3 linked regions of the Coturnix japonica genome follow. The protein of the gene in region 1 interacts with the protein of each later gene in a pairwise test. Links are inferred from orthologs where the notes say so. Each region holds a gene or a part of one and is shown in the gene's direction. Other genes may lie near its edges.

The links.
Region 2: the proteins of PRKCI (region 1) and PARD6G interact in binary tests that used the Homo sapiens proteins (3 or more experiments, as listed by UniProt). The link is inferred for Coturnix japonica from reciprocal best matches to the Homo sapiens genes PRKCI and PARD6G.
Region 3: the proteins of PRKCI (region 1) and PARD6B interact in binary tests that used the Homo sapiens proteins (3 or more experiments, as listed by UniProt). The link is inferred for Coturnix japonica from reciprocal best matches to the Homo sapiens genes PRKCI and PARD6B.

Annotation. Positions count from the first base shown.
Region 1 is NC_029524.1:17,531,819-17,538,651, reverse strand, and holds part of PRKCI (protein kinase C iota type), read left to right. Parts: intron 1-330; coding exon 331-420; intron 421-1,160; coding exon 1,161-1,211; intron 1,212-2,340; coding exon 2,341-2,426; intron 2,427-3,709; coding exon 3,710-3,850; intron 3,851-4,677; coding exon 4,678-4,729; intron 4,730-5,367; coding exon 5,368-5,426; intron 5,427-5,868; coding exon 5,869-6,045; intron 6,046-6,833.
Region 2 is NC_029517.1:80,910,705-80,917,965, reverse strand, and holds the start of PARD6G (partitioning defective 6 homolog gamma), read left to right. Parts: upstream 1-3,345; 5' UTR 3,346-3,389; coding exon 3,390-3,461; intron 3,462-7,261. UniProt on the Homo sapiens protein: Adapter protein involved in asymmetrical cell division and cell polarization processes. May play a role in the formation of epithelial tight junctions. The PARD6-PARD3 complex links GTP-bound Rho small GTPases to atypical protein kinase C proteins.
Region 3 is NC_029535.1:12,086,781-12,093,613, reverse strand, and holds part of PARD6B (partitioning defective 6 homolog beta), read left to right. Parts: intron 1-2,343; coding exon 2,344-2,566; intron 2,567-6,833. UniProt on the Homo sapiens protein: Adapter protein involved in asymmetrical cell division and cell polarization processes. Probably involved in formation of epithelial tight junctions.

The DNA of each region.
Region 1 (6,833 bases):
TCTGTCAGAAAGAAACAAGCTGTTTGCACAGGTGTCAAAAACAAATGAAGAAAAACTGGTTTGTTGGTTCACAGTGAGTCTGAATGAATAGGGATGTTCCTGCTCCTTCCACACTCTTCACTTTGTGTTTATGGGGTGGGTAGGCAGCTGAGTGCCAAGTCTGTCCAATGGGACAGTGATGTGCAATATGATGAAAAATGACAGAAACGCTACCACGCCGAGGGTATTGCTTTGGTTTGATACAATAATTATCTTAGGAACAACTGCGAGGGAGCTGCTGAACCACACGGAACTAATTAGACCGAGTTTTGTGATGTTTTCTTCTTTCAGGAGACCCATGTACTGTTTCTTCACAGCTGGAGTTAGAAGAGGCGTTTCGGTTGTATGAACTAAACAAGGATTCAGAACTTCTAATTCATGGTACAGTAAAATTTAATGTATTACTTCTAATGTTTGCACCTACGGAGAACAGGAATTTTTTCCTCATGTTATCAGTGTCTTTTGCACTACTCTGTCTTCTTCAGTTAAAGTCTATTGTGGCTGCCTGTCAAGAGGATGCCAAAGACGACGTCAGCCTTTTTAGCTGTCAGTACTTGTCAGTGTTCTTTATGGAATTAAGAAAGGAAAAAAGATGTAAAAATGATTTCATCTGCTCCTATATGTGTATCTCTGTTTTTTATTATTCTGCTTTTTGATCTGTCTTGTCTCCATTTACTTCTGCTTGATTGGCTTCTCAATAAATATGCACCAGGGTTAACTTTCCCAAGTTTTCTTTTCCTACTGCAGCTAAATACACTGGAAACAAAGAACTAATGTAGGCAAAATCATACTTGGCTGTTCTGGAACACTGTAATGTGCTTCACCTACAGTCCAGATTTCCAAATACCCACTGCAGTGATTGGACAATTGAGAAACCAGCCTCACTACTTGTTGCCAGCATCTTTACACAAGTTACCTTACTCCGCTGTCCAGTTGCATTTCACACTTGGATCACTGTTATGTCCAGTACAGGGTTTTGTGGCATCTTTTTTTCTTGCTTGCTGTTAGAATGCATTTTAGCAATTTTCTGTTGCCTTTTTACTATGTAGGTGTTGTATTTAACCCAAAGAATTGTCTTCTGTATGAAACAGATTAATAAGAAGCTGATATTTTTCTTGCAGTGTTCCCTTGTGTACCGGAACGGCCTGGCATGCCTTGCCCAGGAGAAGACAGTAAGTAGGCATCTTCATTTGGGCATACTTAAAATAAGTAATGTGTATTCTAGAAAAAGTTGATACTCTATTGTTTGATTTCCTGTGCTTATGACTATTAATAACACGAATCTCTACAGCTTAAATATTAAAAAGGAATGTTGTTTGTCATTTCTGAGTCATTGTTAATAAAGCATTTTTGTATTTCTGTTAACTCTCCACGTGTCTCTGCTTTCCTTGCTTTTGCCTCTTCCATGGCAGTTTTCCATTCTGTTCCTGTCTCTAGTAGTTGCCAGATTGCTCGCTGACTGATGTGAACAAAGACTTGTAACCACTTGTAATGAGGTGTCAAATAATCAATTTCAGACCAACCTTTGGGTAAAATCAGGAATATTTTGTGAACACCTTTGTCATGCTGGTAAATGTACTAACCATGAGAGGTGATTTTCCATATGTTTAATGTAGGCTTCTATGCTGTTGTTATTCATCTTATAAAAGATGATGGGTATGCTATGCATGCACACGTCTGTCAGCTTGATATCCAAGTTCTTGACAAATGTCAGTGTGCATGCTTAAATGTTAACTATGGCAGTAGGATTAATGCTGCCTTTCTGAAGGGGAGAAAGAAAGGTTCTAGGCTACATCTGAAATAGCTTTGCAACTTGAGGTAGTTTTGCATATTCTAGTTTTCAGTTTTGGGTCCTGAAATGCCTGTAATGAGACAAACAAACAGTCAGAAAATGGTGGCAGCTGTGGACCTAAGATACTGGAGGGTTTGTGCATGCAGCCATAACAGGACATGCTCCTGAAATGGACCTTCTTCCCTCCCTCCCACAGCTCCTCCTTGAATTAAGTAAGGTATGTGCATGTTTTGCAAACAAGTGCTTGTGTTGTTTGGACAGTTTTCCTCCTTTTGACTCACTCCGCCTTTTAACTTTGGAAAGGCAGAATTAACTTTCAGATGGTCAGAGTATTTTGCTTGATGTTTTCTCCAAAATTGGAAAAATGAAGAAAATACTTTGTGTTTCTATAAGGCTGCAGGAATGAAACTTTACTCTGCAAATCACTGTACACAGAAGCACCAGTAAGAAAGTACTGTAGTTCTGTATTTATATCTTTTATGGATATAATTGTATGTTTTTCCTCTTAGAATCCATTTATCGCCGTGGCGCCCGCCGGTGGCGAAAGCTCTATTGTGCAAATGGTCACACTTTCCAAGCCAAACGATTTAACAGGGTGAGACTCTTGTTGGGTACTTAAAACCATGTTCCAGGGTTGTCTTACTTTTATAATTTTAATGTTACTGCCTTGAAAAAAATAAAAAGGTAGATTTATTCTAATTGCTGTTGACTGCCTGTAGTTCTTAGATGCTGGTAACTGTAGTTTCAGGAAACTTTATCCATATAAAATTAGGCTCATAAAAACATAAATAGTTGCAATTCACTTTACAGTGTACTCTGTAACTATGCTGTCACGGAAGTGTTCTGGTGCTCCCTTAAAATCTCCGGGGAGGGCAGACTTTAACACTGGCATTAGATGATTGAACTGAAAGTGCATTTGCAGTTGTTTAAGCATACGTCGAGTTGCTTATGATGCACAGTTTTCCTTCACGACTTAAACAAAACCTGAGATGTTTCTCTAGCATCTGCTTATGATGGCGTAGAAACAATTGAAAATAACTGGCCAGTTTTAATACTTTCAATAAGCAATAGCCAAAGACGATTGAGAATCAAGAGAGCTATCTGCGGCTTGTATCTGAAAAATTAGATAAAATAAGAATTGAATAAGCAAGGTTCCTTGACAGCTTCAGTATTCTTTCCTTTTTCTCTAAGCTGTGAATCACGTGCTTAAGTAACTCTCAAAATGATCTCCACTAAACTTCGTCTTCAGCATTATTCATTTAATATTTTTTACATAAGCAATGCTCTAGGAAATATTCATTGACCTCTTCCCGGTCAAAGGCTGAAGGCACCATCCCACTTGCTTTTGTTGGTGCCCTGCATTCATGGTTCTTTTGAGTTATGAGTGTCCTTCAGTGGGTGGTGATCTTCCCATTTCCTCTTAGCTGGTGGTTTATCTATGTTGAAGCTTTTGCTTTCCTGCTGTTCTCTCTTCAAATCTAAGGACTCCCCTACATAAAGATAATGAGACCTAGCAAACTAGCTTGGTCACAGGAGCCTGCTTATTCATCTGCACTGCTTTTGACCTGCAGTTGACACCCATCTCTCTGGGTCCACGTGCAGCAGAAGAGGCTGACTGTGCCTGCACCTTCCCATGTAAATGTGCTCTTTCTGATAAGCAGTCGCTGCTTATTGTTCATTTGTAATTCTTGGGCTTTTCTGTGTTGTATCTGCTTGTTCTATCTTAAAGTTCTGTCATAGGCTTTTCAGGTACAGTAGCAACTTGAGTAGGGGTTTTTCTGATCTCCTATCCTCTGTTCTTCAGTAATGGGAACGTGGCTGAATAGTTTCTGTTATTTAGCTTTGCTTTTAATCAGTTTTATTGATTTATTCTTCTAGAGAGCTCACTGTGCCATCTGCTCAGACCGAATATGGGGCCTGGGTCGCCAGGGGTATAAATGCATCAACTGCAAACTCCTTGTTCACAAGAAGTGTCACAAACTAGTCAATACTGACTGTGGTCGTCATACACTACAACCAGTAAGTACGGTTTATCTGAAATGTTGTCTTAAAAAGCAACAATAAATGAAATAAAGGAGCTTGTTTCATACTAAATGGCTTTCAGACTATGCTCAGCAAACAATCACAGTAGATAAAGCTTAAAAAGGCTGTCATTCTTTATGGCTACTGCATTACATGACAAGAAAATAGAAGAGATGCTTAGCAAAATAGCATTTCAGTAACAAGAAGGTCTTAATTCTTGTATAGATTGTCTATTTCTGTGTCAGATGGTGAAAAGCAAGGTAAATATGACATGTAGTTACATAGTGTTTATATGAACGTGTACATATATTACATTTCACATATTCAGAGTGACATACAAGTAAATTCTCTAAACATCTGTTAGATTATTAGACTATTTTGTTTGATAGAAAAGGAAGGCAAGGCACAATAGTTCTGACCTCCTCCTAAGTGATGCAATCATCTTTAGTTCTCAAGTCCCCAAAAAGCAATATGTAAATACCACTTGCAGTTTAATGTTTAAAAATGGACAGCTGGAAGTCTTTATTTCATAAATTTATTTGGATAATAAAGCTGCTGAAGTATGTGCAATTTTCTGTCTCATTTTGCATCTAATCTACTACCTTCTCCTTGCTGTATGAAGTTTTCTTCAATAGCTTCTAGCAACTTGCCATAACTTCTGGAAAGCAGGAAAAATAAGGTCTATGGTGATTCTTTTTATACTGTATGGACTAGAGCAGTAGTTATGTGGATTCATCTAAAACAGATTATATTTCTCAGAGATTCTTTATTGTCTCTCAAATGCTTTTCACAATCTGTTAAACAAATGTTGTGCAAATTTGCAGGAACCAATAATGCCTATGGATCCATCGGTGCATCCGGATAACGTAGAATCAGGTAAGATCAGTGCTTCCCTTTGAAACATGAACATGGGTTTTAATATGAAACAGAATAACTTTAAGCAAATTGCTTTAAGAATTCTGCTTTACTTCTTTTTGTTGGGCAAGACAAAGAGGACAGCTGCTTTAAAAACTAAGGGGGATTTAAATATAAAATCTCCTATTTCCTGCGTCTTGCAGTTTGACAAACCGTTGCAAAGAATCGAGTCTGATACTTAGATTTTTCCATCAGTAAGGAGTGTACTTTAAACATCATTAAGCAAACAAAAAGGCAGTAAACAAAGTTACAGTGGAAAAAAATTAAACAAGATTTCCTGGTGTTTCAGTTTCAATGGACAGTGATTTGTTAAACAACAACAAATGTTATTTGGCACAAGATACAGTGTGTCAAGGAGAGTCTAAATAGATTTCCAAATATAATCACAACGTTATATAAGCCATAACAGTTGTTATTGCAGTATTGCAAAAGAATGATTTTGCTAGCTTAAAAACAACAACAAAAAATACCAGTTTTGAAAGCATATAATAGGTACATTTAAGCTGTTTCTCCTTGATTCAACTAACGAGTGGAAATTTTTAAGAGAAAGAAAATCGAGTTGTGTTCCATGGATCTAATTGTTTTCCTTGCATCTCTAGTGATTCCATATAATCCATCGAGTCATGAGAGCTTAGACCATGTTGGTGAAGAAAAAGAGGTGAAGTATCTTAACCACACTAATTGTGTTCAGCGATCTTCAACTCTGGCACTCTTTATTTTATTGCTTTAGTAATTTAACTTGTCACAAAATGAAAACCAGTACATAGAGCATGTTTGGATTGCTCACTCGGTGGTCGCATGTGTGTCTTTCAAGCTGATTGTTTTTAAAGCCTGGGTTGAGATGTGCTTTGATTTAGAAAGTTTTCCAAATTCTTCTAGTTTCATTTGTTTTTCATCTGTCCTGTTTGTTCTGCCTTCTTCCCTTTCCCTTCTGTTCCTTTTCCTGGCAGTGCAGTTTAAGAATTGCAAGTGTTCATTGAATCACTTGTGTTTTTATTGTTCTATTCTGTTTGAAGTGCTAACTGTCTTTAAAGAATAGCAACTACAGTCGTTAAAATTGACAAGCCTGTTCATGAACTCAGAAGTATCTCTATCTGTAGGCAATGGGCATAAGAGAAAGTGGCAAAGCTTCTTCCAGCCTGGGTCTTCAGGATTTTGATTTGCTCCGAGTTATAGGAAGAGGCAGTTATGCTAAAGTATTGCTTGTTCGATTGAAGAAAACAGAACGCATTTATGCAATGAAGGTGGTGAAGAAAGAACTCGTCAATGATGATGAGGTAGGTAAGCTCTTTGTTAATAACTCAGCCAACTCTTTTGAACAGCTTTAATACCTGTTACAAAGGGGAAGCCAGACATCTGTGTCTGCATCATGAATTAAAACCTATGCATTAAACATTCAGCTACTTGGAAATGCATTACAAGAAGTTCATAAGACAGATGACTGCTTTTGAGATCTGCGTTGACAGATGCGTAGTTTACAGCAAGTCATCCCATGCTAGTGGTTTTTGTCAAGAGCTCCATTACTTCAACCAGCATCACTGTTGTAATTGGCACAGTCTACAGCACTACTCATGCAGAAATCACTTAAGTTTCTCTTGCCTCTTTACTTTGAAGAAATATTCCATATTTTTCCTATTATTTTTGCTTGCTTGGCTGAAAAGGAGTTGGAGTCTTCTTTTCATATGTTCACAACTGTGAAATTTTGTTTTTTGTCACAAAGGAGAACCTCATAGTGTTACTTATTTGCTCTTTAAATCAGGCATCCACGTTTACAGATTGGTTGTAGCATGCATAATGATTTGTGGAAATTTACTACCATTTGCAGTCAACTGTTAGTGTGCTCTTGCTGCTGATTTCATTCATGGTTCTTTAAGGTATTTTGTAAAGATTTGCTGATTCAAGAACTTCTCATTTTATCCTAGTTCCGACATTGATTTCACCTGCCTTTCTTTGCAACTTCTTTGCATTCATCAGCAGCAGTTTATCTTTATGCTAATTGTCATTAGTACTTGCCCTGCAGTGTACAGCAGTACTTATCTGAATGTTGCTTTTTTTCTTTTTTTTT
Region 2 (7,261 bases), on another chromosome or scaffold:
CCCGTGCTAGCCCTATGATGCAGAGATACAAGTGTTTTTTTCATTCTGGTTTACAAATGAAAAAGCTGAGTGACTCACTTATGCCTACTACTCATTCCCGAAGTCCAAACCCTCTCCAGGTCCTTTTTCTAAGCCACTGGGTGTCTGCCACCTTGTGGAAAATCAGCACGTTTTTGCCTGATAAAATCAATGAAGCACAACCCATTCTCCTGTCAAATCTTAGGGAACTTGCTTTACAAAGATGAAAAACATGAGGCATTTCAACTTCATGAAAGACATCTCCCTTCCAACCCCCTTGCTACCCACCCATAGACTGGGTCCTTCAAGAGACATCAGTATTCCCCGGCTGTTCTAACTGCAGAGAAAGGACTGGGAATGAGCTGGGGCAAAACAGGTTGGGTGGGCATTTGCTCCCTGCTTGGAGGTGCAGCATGTGCACCAGCAAGGCCACAGAAACATACAGTAACCTTCCAGCCAAACAGTGATCTCTTTCCATTGGCAAGCATCTGCCAAAATCACATTTTGTTTTGCAGATCACTTGCTGAAAGGAAAAGCACAAGAACTAAACTTTAGATTTTCCAGAGCTATTGAGGGAATCTTGAGCAGTCAGGTGGAGAGATCATCAAAAGGTCTTGAAGGTGACCCAGGGAAAAAAACAAATAAACTAGGAATTCCAGTTTTAGTCTCTCGAATTTGAGGTTAACATTGTTATTGCTTATTCATTTATTGTATATTTAGAGGAACTGGTAATACTGATCTCAAAGATGCCTAAATCTAGGAGGAAGTGCTGTTGTGCCATACCGCTCTGCAGGGTCCATACTAGTCAAAATAGTACATAAGAAGATACACCTTGTCAGATACATGAATTATTATCAAGCTGTCCTTACTGGTGTTTTGTATTTAGAAGAAAAACTTGTCATTGAAAACTGAGACTGCTTTGTTGAACTGCCTGAACTGGTGAGCGAGAGGCAGCCCTGTACTTAGGGGGACTGCTGTTGAACAGATGGGATCACTGTTTTGCACATGATCCTGGAATGCAATAAAATTGTTTGGTTCTGGGAAAGAGTTTTCCTCCCGTGATATTATCAAAATGGCCAAAAGGCCGGGTTCTGAAATCCACAGTCCCACATGTAATCCTCACACATGCTTGAGGAAGACACGAATTACGAAGGAAACAAAGCATAGAGACATCATTTTTGCAGTGAAGTATTCTTACTTCTTGATATAAAGAAGGTGCAAAGGGCCGAAAGCAGATATATAAGGATCCTGTTTCTGCTAGCAGCAGAAATGGGGGAAGGACACTGTGTTACTGCCACAAAACACACAGCCTGTGGTGATTTCAGGACGCTGGGATGCAGAAACACATTCAGGAGTATTCTGTCAAATTGGCTCTCTCCAGCACCTTGACACAGCAGTCCTTAATGTCTCACTTCCCCTTTCAAGTCACTGAGGATGGCAGCGCAGGATGGAGGCTAGGCCAGAGGTTACAAATATAGACCCCTCATCCACAGAGGCCAGGGGAAGTCACACTGCTGACAGGCTTAGGGCCCCCAAAGAGCTGCAGTGAGGCTCTGCTGCTTTGCACCCGCTGAGCATCTGGCCCTAAGCCTGTGGGAAGGAGGATTTAATGCGTCTCATGCTCCGTGCAGCTCTGAGCAGCTGCTTTGAAGGACTCTGGGAACTTGTGCCCTAGCTGAAAGCTCTGGAAAGGATCGATTGTGCACAAGCATTCCAAAACTTCAGTGTTTTACAGGGCGTGAATGCAGCCTGGAAACAAATATGTAACGCAATAAGCAGCTTCTTGGCAAACCTCTTTGTAGATCAGGTGGGTGAGGAAGAGATTACATCCATTCCTGCTGATTAAGAGCTGCACAGTGCCTGTCCATGGACTAACTCTGATGGGATCAGGTGACCCCCGCCTGGTACAGCTATGTGCAGTGGTCTGGCTAACATGGGAGGGATTTTGCTGCATGAATAAGTGTGAGCTCTCCCTCCAACTGGTTTTTATCATTATTATTAATCAGGAGCCACACCTTTCTATCTATCTTTATCTTAATATGGTAACTGCTGTAGTGGATCTGCCAGAGAAATCCTGCAAAGAACAGACTTAAGAAGTCATCTGATAACATTTTTCCTAACCTAATAGCTAGATAGGGGGCTCAGCCTCTTATCCCTGGTAATAGTGATAGCATGAGAAGGAATGGCCTCAGGTTGTTCGTTCCAGTTTGCTGCATCCCACATCAGGCTGAAAACCTCTTGAGTATTTAGATGAGAAACTGACCAAAACCCACATTTCAGCTTCTTCCTTCCCTTCCCTTCCCTTCCCTTCCCTTCCCTTCCCTTCCCTTCCCTTCCCTTCCCTTCCCTTCTCCTTTCCTTTCCTTCTCCTCTCCTTTCCTTCTCCTCTCCTCTCCTTCCCTCCCCTTTCCTTCCTTTCCTCCCTCCCTCCCTTCGCTCCCTTCCTCCCTTTTCCCTTCCCTCCCCTCCCTCCCTCCCCTTCCCTCCCCTTCCCTTCCCCTTTCCTTTCCTTCTCCTCTCCTTCCCTCCCCTTTCCTTCCTTCCTTTCCTCCCTCCCTCCCTTCCCTCCCTCCCCTTCCCTCCCTTTTCCCTTCCCTTTTCCCTTCCCTCTTTATTGTAAGTCAATCTATAATCTTACTATCAAGCCATAAATCATACAATATTCAGGGAAACTCTGCCGTGCTATTTGAGCTATAGCAACTTGAAGGTTGTGTTAATCCCAATGGTCTGTGGCAACGAATCAGGTGAGACCCGAGAGTGGCCTTTTACTATCAGAAGGGGGAAGCAGTGAGAAAGAAGGGGACGGATTCTTCAGCAGTGTTAGGACAGTGATCATAGTATCACAGTCTCGTGCGGGTTGGAAGGGACCCTAGAGATCATCGAGTCCAACCCCCGGGATTCGAGCCTCTGTGTAGCAGAGCGGCACTTCTACCACTTGCGCCAAAGGGGGATTCGAACTCAGGGCCTGCGGTGTTGCAAAGCAGCATTCCTACCACTGCGCCACCGGGGCACACAGAGTGATAGGACAGGGGAACTATTAGTGCCAAACTAAGCTCAATGCTATCACTGCAGTAGGTCCCAATGGGATCAAACAGCCGCTGCCCGCCACCCTACACCATGAGGGCGGGCACACAGCGCCGAGTGGGCGCGGCCACGCGGTTAGTGGGCGTGTCCTCCCGTCCCCCCGCCGCGGACGGGGCCGCGCTGCTGTCGGCAGCCGGATCGCGATCGCGGTGTTGCGGCCGCTCTCATTGGCGCGCCGGGACAAAGTGTCCGTAGCGGCGTGGAGCGGAGCGGAGTTGGGCGCCGCGGGGCGGCGGGGGGAGGAGGAGGAGGAGGAGAAGACGGGGGGGGCGGCAGCGGCGCGGAAGATGAACCGGAGCTTCAACAAATCTCAGACTCTGCGGTATCTGGAATGCAGCGCGGTGGAAGTGAAGAGTAAGGTGAGCGCGGCCTCGCCGTACGGCCCGGGGTGCTGAGGGCGGGTACTCGAGGGCTCCGTTCCCGGCGGTGCGGGCGGGCGCGAGGGGCCCCGTGCCCGTGGCCGCCGCTCGATCTTTTGTTTCGCCGCCGGCCGCTCTCTCGGCGGGGCAGCGCGGGGAGCTGCACGGGCTCCTCGGCTCCTCAGTGCCACTGAAATAAATGATGCGGGGTTACTGATGTCCGTCCTGCTCCCACAGCCGGGCTTGAGCTGCTCCCGGGTTGGGATGCGGCCCCTGCGCTCATGGCGAGTTGTGGTCCTGTTCTGTGAGTGCTGAGTGGTGCTCGAAACACATAAGCTCCGGTCTGGAGTACTGGCTGTTGGTAAGAATGGATGTGTGCACTCTTCCTTCAACTTAACGTATCCATTGCCTTAATAACAGCTTTAAAAGAGTCCTATAATAAAGGCTCGGAGCCTTGTTTACAGCTGCAGCGGTCCATAGGGTCCTGCACCCTGCCCTGTGTAGGTGCAGGGCGTTAGGGGGCTGTGAGCACACACTGTGTGGGCAGTGAGAAGGAGCTACTTGGTGCTCACTCCTGCTGTGCATAGAGCCCATGGGGTCCCTCTTACAGCACTGTCCTGTGGTAGGGATAGAGCCAGCAAGAAGCTCTGGTCGGTGCTGCTACATGAGGGGCTGTGCAGGACTAGACTCCAACTGCTGTTGGGAGCACCTACGTACTTACTTGCCTCTGTTTTGCAAGCACGAGGCCTGCCCCAGCCTGCCAGAAAACCAGAAAGTTGAGTCTGCGTACTGTTGGTTGGTGCCTGTCGGGCCTTGGCTGGGTGCTGCTGGGCACCATGTTGCAGCCACCAGCTGGGGGGCTTCATAGGGCTGGGGTGGGCTTTGTGGTGGAGGGGCCCAGTGGAAGCACTGCCTTGGAGCGGGGCATTCCTTTCCTTGTGGGTTGAGTCAGACCTGGAGGAGCTGTGGGGAGTCGTACAGGCTGCAAGCTTGACTTTTAAAATTCTATTTATTTATTTATTTAGCCTATGGTGTGATAGCCAGGTGATTTCCTGCCTACACCCAGCTAAGTGTGTAATGCGTTAGGCCGCCATGTGGAAATGGCTTCCGCTGTGCATCAGGCCAGCTTTTTTTCTCTGGGCAGATGGAAGGTGCTTTAGAAGTCTCCTGGTCACTGAGTTGCAGTAGGTCCCGAAGGGGAGGAGGGAATATGAGCCCTGTGCATGTGTCTGCTCTCAAACATGGCAGTAACTGTAATTGCAATTGCAGAGTCTTGTGCTTTAGGGAGCCGTCTTCCTTCAGGCCTGTCCTGCCCCCATCTCCGCCCCTGAAGCCGGCCTTATAATCAAAGCACTTGCAAGCTTATTGCTGGGTGGGAGAGGAAGGAGAAACCTGCTTAGAAATTGGCACATGTCAAAGGAAAATAATAATTGAATTGTAATTATGTCTTCTCCCTTTTCTCTTCTCGAGTGTTTCTCAACAGTGTAAATTAGAAGCTCAGTTGTTATCTAGGTGTTGTCCCTGTCGCTCAAAATAAATGTTTCAGCCTTTTTAGACAGGATCTGAAGCCACTTTATCTTGCAGGCCTGAAAGAGCCGTGTATTCTCCTATGTCTCATACTTGCCCAGTCTGGTGACAAGTGGTGTGGCTGCTCCCTTTGAAGAAATCACCTCTAATCTCTAAAAAAAGGTTTCCAGATGACTCTTTCTCTCCCATTTACCAAGATTTCCAGAGCAAACAACGCGTGGGGATTCTTGTTTTATTAAGAATCCTTCCTGTTGGCACTAGATCACAAACCTATTCTTCTAGTCTTCGTTTTTCTCTAGCTTTACTGAGAGGTTGAAGGCCCCTCTCTTTGTGAATGTAAACCTATAGAAGAACCAGGACTTATAAAATAGGAATTCCTGCATTAATACTGAGACTTCCTCTTTAATTACAGCTCTGTGTAGTCCATCTTCTTTCACCCTCCTCCAATTGAAAAATTGCTTTATTTTCTCTAAGTTGTATATACTGATAAGAATTCTTTTTCAGGTTTTAAAACACACTCTTAGATGCCAGAAAAGAAATAATCCTTTACAAAAGCCATCTTGTTTAGCTGCTGTTGAGAACTCTGATCAGTAGTTGAGGACTATGGAAGTACAGCTGCCTGACTCAGGTGCTGGTTTGGATGCTTGGTGCTAGTCCTTGACACTGCTGCCATGTTAATAGTGTCGTGTTTTCTTGTACTACAAACTGATAGACAAATGAACAACGTGACTAACATCCTCCTACTGTAAACAAGCCCGTTAAGATAAACATACTAGTTAACCATAACTGTATTTCCTTTGCTCTCTTCTCCCACCTAATTTCTGCTTTGTTCCAGTGAATGTTGGTGTTCAGCCGAAAACCCTGTATGTTTAAAAAGGTTTGTGTTTTTAAGTAGTACTTTAGTTTCTTCCAAGTTAGGTTCGTATTTATCGTACCTAGAATGCAATGAAAACAAGTGCTGCGAAAAATCCTATGACCAGGTGTTTGAACTGCTGGTTTTGAGCTTCGAAACGTTGAAGAGAACTGTCCTGCTGCCTTGTGTTATGGTATTTCCCATACTCTCCTGTGCTTCAATCCACCTCCAGGTTCTCACCCCTGCTTTTGTGGTCACTTTTATCCTAGGGACTTAGGAATTCCTGATCTGCTTGAAATTCCATCCAACAAGTCTGTCTTATGGAGTCGCCTTCTAGATTTCAGTCTCGCCACACTGAAACTGTCCTAAAGGCCACAGAACAACGGACCTTTAATTTGCTGGGATTGCTCTTTAATGTTGAAAAGCTGTTTACAGCCAGAGTCAGAAAGGAATGTCTCCTGTTGGAGGCTAATATACCTCGTGGAGGCTCTGTCTGGCAGCCTGCAGGACCAGCCACCTCTAAGGAGCTCTTTGGGGCTGCAATTAATAGTGCTTTCCTCAGTAGTGCCTTATCATGCCTTTGTGTGCGCTTAAAGTGAAACACTCTACTAAAGATTGATTGCTTGCCCCTAATTACATTTACAATGCAGCCAGAAGTTAAGGATGAAATGTACCTTCTGAGACATTCCCTCCCTGGAAGTGAAGGCAAGGTCTCCCAGCAGCATTTAGTGCCGTTCCCATTGGAAATTCCTGCAGTTAATTGAGGCAGGGATGTCTGGGGCAGGGTGTGGTGTACCAGCCCCAGGCCATCCAGCCTGGGGCCATCCTACTGCTTCCCTGTCAGGTCTGGTAAGGTGTGCCTGTGTGTCAGGTTGCTTCTCTGCTGCTGCTGGTGGCTGTGGAGAGCTCTGGCAAAAACTAAAAGGGTCTTAAATGCGTTTGCTACCAGCCAGAGCCCTTACTGGTTACGTTACTTAGAAAATGGTGGGAAAGTAGTTTGCTCTGGCTGGAGACCTGCACTAGTGCATGGGCTGCCTGTCTGCCTGCAGGCTTGTGTGCTGCTGGCTGTGTGTAATACCGGGTCTCCTGACTCAGTGCTGCTTTGTCCTGTGGATGGCAAGGGGCCAGCTGCTCCTTTTCTCCTTGTGTTGATGGTGGCATGCCATGGATGTGTGATTCCCGTGCTGTATTAGTGCTAAGGCTTGGCAGTGCGTATTGTGCAGTGCTCTTGAAAACACAAGACCAGTTTGCTCCACATCCTTTGCAAGCAAGATTCCTGAAACTAGGAGACTGGAATTGATTCCCTTCTGAAGGGGGAGAACAGCCATGTAAGGCAAATATTTCTTTCTTTTAAGGTGTTTGTTGTGAACAGCCGCTGCATGAAGTAGGGACAGCACTGTGGGATTGAAGATATTTATCA
Region 3 (6,833 bases), on another chromosome or scaffold:
ATCAGCTGCGTGGTGCCTCCTTTGGCATTCTGCAGAGCAGGTCTAATGAGTTGGGGCTGTCTCTTAGTGTACTATGAAGAATGTATCGAGGCGTTCTCTGAACTACTTGTTGCTAATACATTACTTTCAAGTATCTAGATTTAATGTATCAGAGGAGTCATCTTCCTTCCGTGAAGAAGCTCCAAAAAAGAAAGAAAAGCTGTGTGGGAGGTGGAGGGGAGCATTCCTGTGCAGTGCTGTAAGATTTGAAGGCTTGCCATCAGTGTCCAACGCTGTGTTCAGGTAGTCCAACTCAGTAATCATGCACCGACTGACAAACCCATGCCTGCAAAGCCCATTGTGAGTGGGAATAGTGTTTTCCGATTCTTTGTTTTGTATGGAATGAAATCTAATATACCGATAAGCTCCAGCAAATGTATCTGTCTTATGTTCTGTTATTATTGCTTAAGACTGGTAGTGTAGCAGCGGCATGCAGCATTAGACAGGACATAAAGATGCTTCTCATAAGCGAGTCTTACTCACGTGGGTATCTCAGGTGAATTCCTGGTACATTGCCATAGCTTGTGCTGTGTTTTTCCAGCTGATTCTTCTGATTTTACGTTTCTGTGCTTCATTAAAGTTGCAAATTTTTGTTAGTGCAGAGTGGAATGTGGTGCAACGTTTGATATCAAATGGAAACATTGCATGAGATTAATATAGACAATTATTACATGAGATTAATATGGACAGGGAATTAGTTTAGCTTTTCTACTTTATCAGCTTCGTAGTACTGAGCATGTGGCAAGTTTTGTTAGAGCATAACGTCTGTGGAAATGGTGGGGGGAAAAATTAACTTCACATGCTTGGAAATGTGACCGTTCATATCCTTGCTGCAATCACACCATGTTTGCTTCAAGTTGAGAGTAAGATTGTTGGTGGCGTTCTTTTAAATTCCAGTGTTACTTAACCGTTCAAACTATGTTGTCTTTCAAAACCAAACAACTGCAGATTGATACAATGCTTGGAGAGTTTCCATAGCGCTCATACTTGAAATAGCTGCAGCAGGGTTCAGCAGGAACTCGGTCACGTTCCATCACTGACATCACACTTCAGCTGCCTCTGACGTGGAGGAAGCTCCTCCTGCAGGCTGTTGTTTGCTTTGTGTGAGTCATCTCTTCTGACTTAAAGTGACTGAAATAGGAATATTTCTAGAGTGCCCCCAGAGAATTCCATTATTTGAGAACTTTGAAGATGAGGTGTTAATAGTGTGTAGGCTGTTCTGCTGTGCCTGTTTGAGTCTGGGCGGTGTTAATGTGCTAACAATAGGGTCCTTGTCTCCTTATTTTCGTGCCTTGGTATGTGAGAATTCTAAGGCCTCTATTCTCTAGAGCTGTTTTAATCAGTGGTGAGGTAAGGGTTGCTCTGAGGCCTGGTAATTTACACCTCCCCACCTGCTGTGTGTAACACCTACCCCACCATGTGATACTGAGACTGGAACTCCTGGCAGCGTTTCATTCAGTGTGCCCTCGCCTTCTTAAAATTGAGCCAGGTAAAGGAATAGTTTGAAGTGATGTTCATTGTCCATCAGTGACAGGATTGACAAAAATGCCACCAATTGGCTGCTCTGTATTTTGTAGTGAGGAGCTTATTGTCCTTCTAATTCTTCTACAAGCTGGAATCTTTCAGAAGCAGAGGCAAATCTTCTGAATGTTCTTGAGGGGCGGCTGGTTGCTCCCTTTTATTTCCTTCCTCCAGAAAGAAGCAGAATTGATATAAGAGCATCTCGTGAAAGTTTTACTGCACGGTTTGTACTGAACATCACCAGCTATTCTTTGTATCCATTGGGTCAAAGTGGCTTTTCATTTCTGTTCAGAACAACTAGGAATATGAGCAGTTCTGTCTTGCATATGTTAACCATAGCTCTGTATTAATGCATATGTGCCATTCTAAAGCTCTCTGTGACTTCTTTGAAGAATTGCAGGTCGCCACGTGCCATAAAAAGTCGGTTGTTCTCCTTTCTGTTCTTGAGCAGCCACCATCAGTGCTGGGCATCAGTTCTCCCCCTCACCCAGAATGTCTCTTACTTCATAAATAAATGTCTGAGAATCTGCAATTATTCTGGCACTAGTTTGTCACCCTAATGCCACGTTCCTGTGTTAGTGAGTGCTTTGATGTACATGGATGGAAACAACTTGTGAAAACTTTGGGGAGGAAAAAATACCACAATGCAAATAGGAGTTTTATGCCTCTACAGAATTGCTGTTTGTAGTTCTTAGTGCACTCTTAATTGCAAAACATTCAGAATATTTTTGTGCTTCAATTGTGTGTTAGCTTTCCATGTTAATAGGATGTATTTTGTTGTAGTTTGGAGCAGAATTTCGGCGGTTCTCTTTGGAGAGGTCCAAACCCGGGAAGTTTGAGGAGTTCTATGGATTGTTGCAGCATGTGCACAAGATTCCCAACGTCGATGTTCTCGTGGGATATACAGACATTCACGGAGATCTGCTGCCTATAAATAACGATGACAATTATCATAAAGCAGTTTCCACCGCCAATCCCCTACTCAGGATTTTCATTCAGAGGAAAGGTAAGTGTGCTTGAAGTGGGTAATTACTTGTTTATAATTATACTGTTTACTCGGTATGAGGAATGGAGTAAATGCCCCATTCCATTGGGTTGAATTCCACAACTGTAGATGATCAGATTTATTCACATCTCTCTTGCAAGAGTTTCCTCAGGCAGCCTGTTTATACTTCATGCATTTTGCTTGTGTTTAGTTTGGTTGGATAAAATCAAATCAAATCTATAGCAAATGCTTCTTTCTGATTTCATTTTGATGCAAATGAACTTTGAACTCAGGATTTATAGGGTTTTATGTCTGTGTGTTGGATGCGTTTGATTTAAAATTCCAGTCTTGATTGGACAAGGGGAAAGAAAAGCTGTTACAGGGTGGAAAGGAATCCTACTGCATAAATAAAGTGTTATGTGTCAGTATAGAGACTAACTTTTAATATGCTGCTTCTGTAACGCTTTCCTGAGAAAACAATGTGGAGTTTTCAAAATGGCAGTGATTTCTGTCAGCCAACCTCAAGTGTGAGTGCTGATTATTTTGTCAGTTGGCTTTATAAACTGCACGCATCCTAGGTCCAAGTTCTGTTGTCTTTTTAGTGTTTGCCTTCATTTGTGAAGCAGAATTCAGTTTTTAAGTTGTGTGTGTTTTTGTCCAGAAAGAAATATTCAGTGTAGAGATCTAAAGGGGGTGGGAGGTTGGGGAGTATGGAGTCCTAGGGATGTGACTTGAGATTTCTTTGTTCTCTGAATTAAAACAAACCTTACTGCTACACTAGTAGATTTTCTACTTAAATACAGGGTTGTGTGTATATGAATGTAACTGTGCAAATCCTGTGTTGACAAACAGTGAAGCGATTGTTCTTTAAGTAACACACCATGAGTTGCTCAGCTGCTTTGTAAAGATGTGTGCTGTTTCTGGCTGTTGCTTATCAACAGGTTTGTTTTCCCTAGAAAATACTTGGGCACCAGAAGCTTTTATTGACGTTCTCACTCCAAAGTAATAAACTCCACAACAAACAGTCTGACACAGAAGCAATATTCAAAAGCTGTGGCTGTTTGCCAGGTGCTGTTTCTGACAATGTGTTTGTTTTGTTTGTGTGGATCTTAATACAGTGAGGTCTGTGTGCTTTCATTTCTGTATTGCCAAGGAGATGAACTGTTAAGAGAATGTAAATGCAGAAAAGCTCTGATTCAGTTTAATCTCCTACAGTAGCCATATGAGGAGGACAGATAAGCCACTTTGTCAGACTAGGATTATTGAGGTTACATTTAACACCATATGGTTTTTAAATTGTTACTAGCGTTAAACACTTGATGCTAATTGTAACTGGTGTTACATCTACTATGCTTTGTTCTTCATACTTTTCAAAAGTTTGATGGATTATTATTACGTTTCTGGTGCAAGGAATTGAGAATAGAATTGATAGTAATGCACAACTAGAAATAAGATTAACCTAATTAATCTAATAATGTTAATAATGCTAGAACTGATTGTCAGAAAAAGCTCTATAGAAAATAGTCCCTGTCAAGAGGAACTATATAGTCTTCTGACTATGGAGTTCTAGGTGACAAGGAACCTAGACTGGCATCCAAATCCAGCACTGTACTGCATTCTGTGTTATTTGGTCACTTCTAACTGTGAATGAATCCATCAGCATCCTAGCTGTATAGAACAGGGGCCTTTACAGTGGAAAGCAAGGAAATATTTGTTATTTTTGATAACTTAGTTACAAATGAGGCTGAGCCGTTTGAGATCTATGTGCAGCAGTCTTACCATTTAGGTATGTATAGTCCATCTAACTGCACAGTTATTGTCTGTACATCTATGAATTTGAGAATTGAGTGTTTGAACTAATGCGTGCTATTAATGGGGCTGCTCTGATCTGCACTGCTCTGAAACTATTATTCACGATAAATAATTCAGTTAATTTTCTTCCTGTAAGGTTTGTTGTGGCTTCCATAAACTGTTGAATCACCTAAAGATTTTGCTGGAAAAATCTTTTTAAGATTCTTATAAAGCAAAACTTCTTTTCCTTATATTCCCAACAAGAATAGATGGGAATTGAAGATTTTTGGCCAAAAGTTATTGCTGGCTGGGAGGGGTGGCAGAACAGAGGAGGGAGTTTACATTGTTCTAAAAGACTGGAAACTTTATTATGTTCTCTTGCTGATCTAAAAGCTCATGTAAGGTATGAGTGAACTATGATAAAATGGAGCATAAATAACATTGAACCTGTATCCAAAGAAGGATTTAAGGTGTGGGAAGGAGAACAACAGGATTCTTTTGTAATGATAGCAGTATGTGGCAGTGGTGATGGTGCAAGTCTAACTTAAGGAGTTATGGCATGTCAGGGTAAGCAGCTTCTATCTGATGTTCACTTTTGACTGTTGATTTGTGAAAACTGGGAGGTTATGCATCCAAAGGACTTATGTTTACTGATTGATGTGGTAAGAAACCTGGATATCCCTTAATGAAATGAAATTATTCATCCTCTCAGGTTTTTCTAACTATAACTAGTGTTTCTGTAACACTTGTCTCAGCATTAAGTCTGAATTAGAACTTGTTGTAGCACAAGTTATGGCTATCAGTTTGTAGAAAAGTTGCATATTGGAATTTCATCTGGGAGTTTAAGAGATTAACAGGTACTGCTGACATCTGGAACTTAAACGTTGAACTGCTGTATCATAATTAAATCCAGATGTGTGGGAGTCGCTCTGTCTGTGGGAAAAGCCTTACTGTGAATAACAACAAGGGAGAGACAGTCCCCACAGACAATGAAGGGCAGCTGGGGGGTTGGTTGTGTTTTGAATACATTCTTCATAGAGACCAGAAGTCAGACCATGATTTCAATTTGGAATCCATAAAGATCACTTAGTGTTCTGTATTGTAATTTCATATTCCTGTGCATCATGCCCAGTGCATGGCTTTATAGAGTAGAAAGGAGGTTCTTAATTCACTTCTAGTTCTTAAGGTGAACTTCCTTTTTCCATGAAAAACAAACTTTTAAAAACAATTTTCCAGAGAAGATTCCTTCTGTTTGTGTCCAGTTTCTGAAAAAAACATGTGGGTTTGTTGTAATTTGGGCCTATTTAAGAGGTGATTTAATGGGCCTTATTTGAAAATGGTAAGTTGCGCGCTTATTCCAATATAATAATGATTTGGGGTTTGTGCAAATGGGAAGTTGCTCATTGTGAGTTACGTTGGTTTGCCAGGAGATGGGGAAACCATTGTGAGTGTCTTGAACTGATGTGAAACCAGATTTGACACTTGCAGGCAGTGTTAAATTCCCTGCAGTCCGTCCATACAGATCGGTGCCATCTTGAGTTTGAAACTGCAAGAAACAAATCACTCCACTTCTATGTGGCCGCTCTCCTTAATGTTATCTGCAGTTAATACCTTGTCCCTTGGCTTTATGCCCAAATATCTTTCCCTGTAGCTTTAAACTGATTAGCGAGGTGCCAGAACAAAGATGCCTTTGTACTCCAGAGTATTGCTTTAACTTCTCTGCTGCTGGACAAACTTTCTAAACAGTTGTGCTGTTTGGAAGAGATATGAGATATGGAGAGATGAGTTTTCTTCATTGACCTTGTTGTTTTTTTCCCCAGAAATTATGCAACTTCATAATGTTTGCACTAGTTTTGTGTTGTTAGGCTTTTAATTCTAGCTATGATACAAGAATCAAAGCCTCTGCTTAGATGTTTTGACATATAGCTTTTATTTAATGCAAAGATTAAAAGAATTGCTTCATGTTGTCTGAGAACTCAGCATGTTAGTTTTCATGGAGCACAGGATTATTAATGGCTGATCTCAGATATCTCAACATACATTTTACGCAGTGTTAAGCTTGCACTTGCAGAAGTGTTTTGCAGGAAACACTGTCCACCTATTGCAGGCTTTGTTTGGGGAGGTGGATTTTTTCTTTGGGTGTTTTTAGATTGAGCCACCTTTTGTCACAAACTGACTTGACTCTCTTAGACACCTAATGAACAGATCTTACACTATTTCTAAAGCCTTCTTGCCTGATGTTAGATCTAATATTTTCTTTTAGTCTTTTCTGCTTAGTTTTTCTGCTGAAGAACAGCTGATTTAAAACGTTTCAAACTCAGTTCATCATTTTTGGAGTTAGAGCATACTTAACATGGCAGATTGCTTTGGAAAATGGGCATTCTTTGGACAAAAGAAGTTGCTTCTGGAGAACACATTTATTTCCATTAGAAATATTTGTATGGCTTTGATTCGTTGTTGTTTGTTTGTTTTTAATAAAACACACACAAGTCATTTG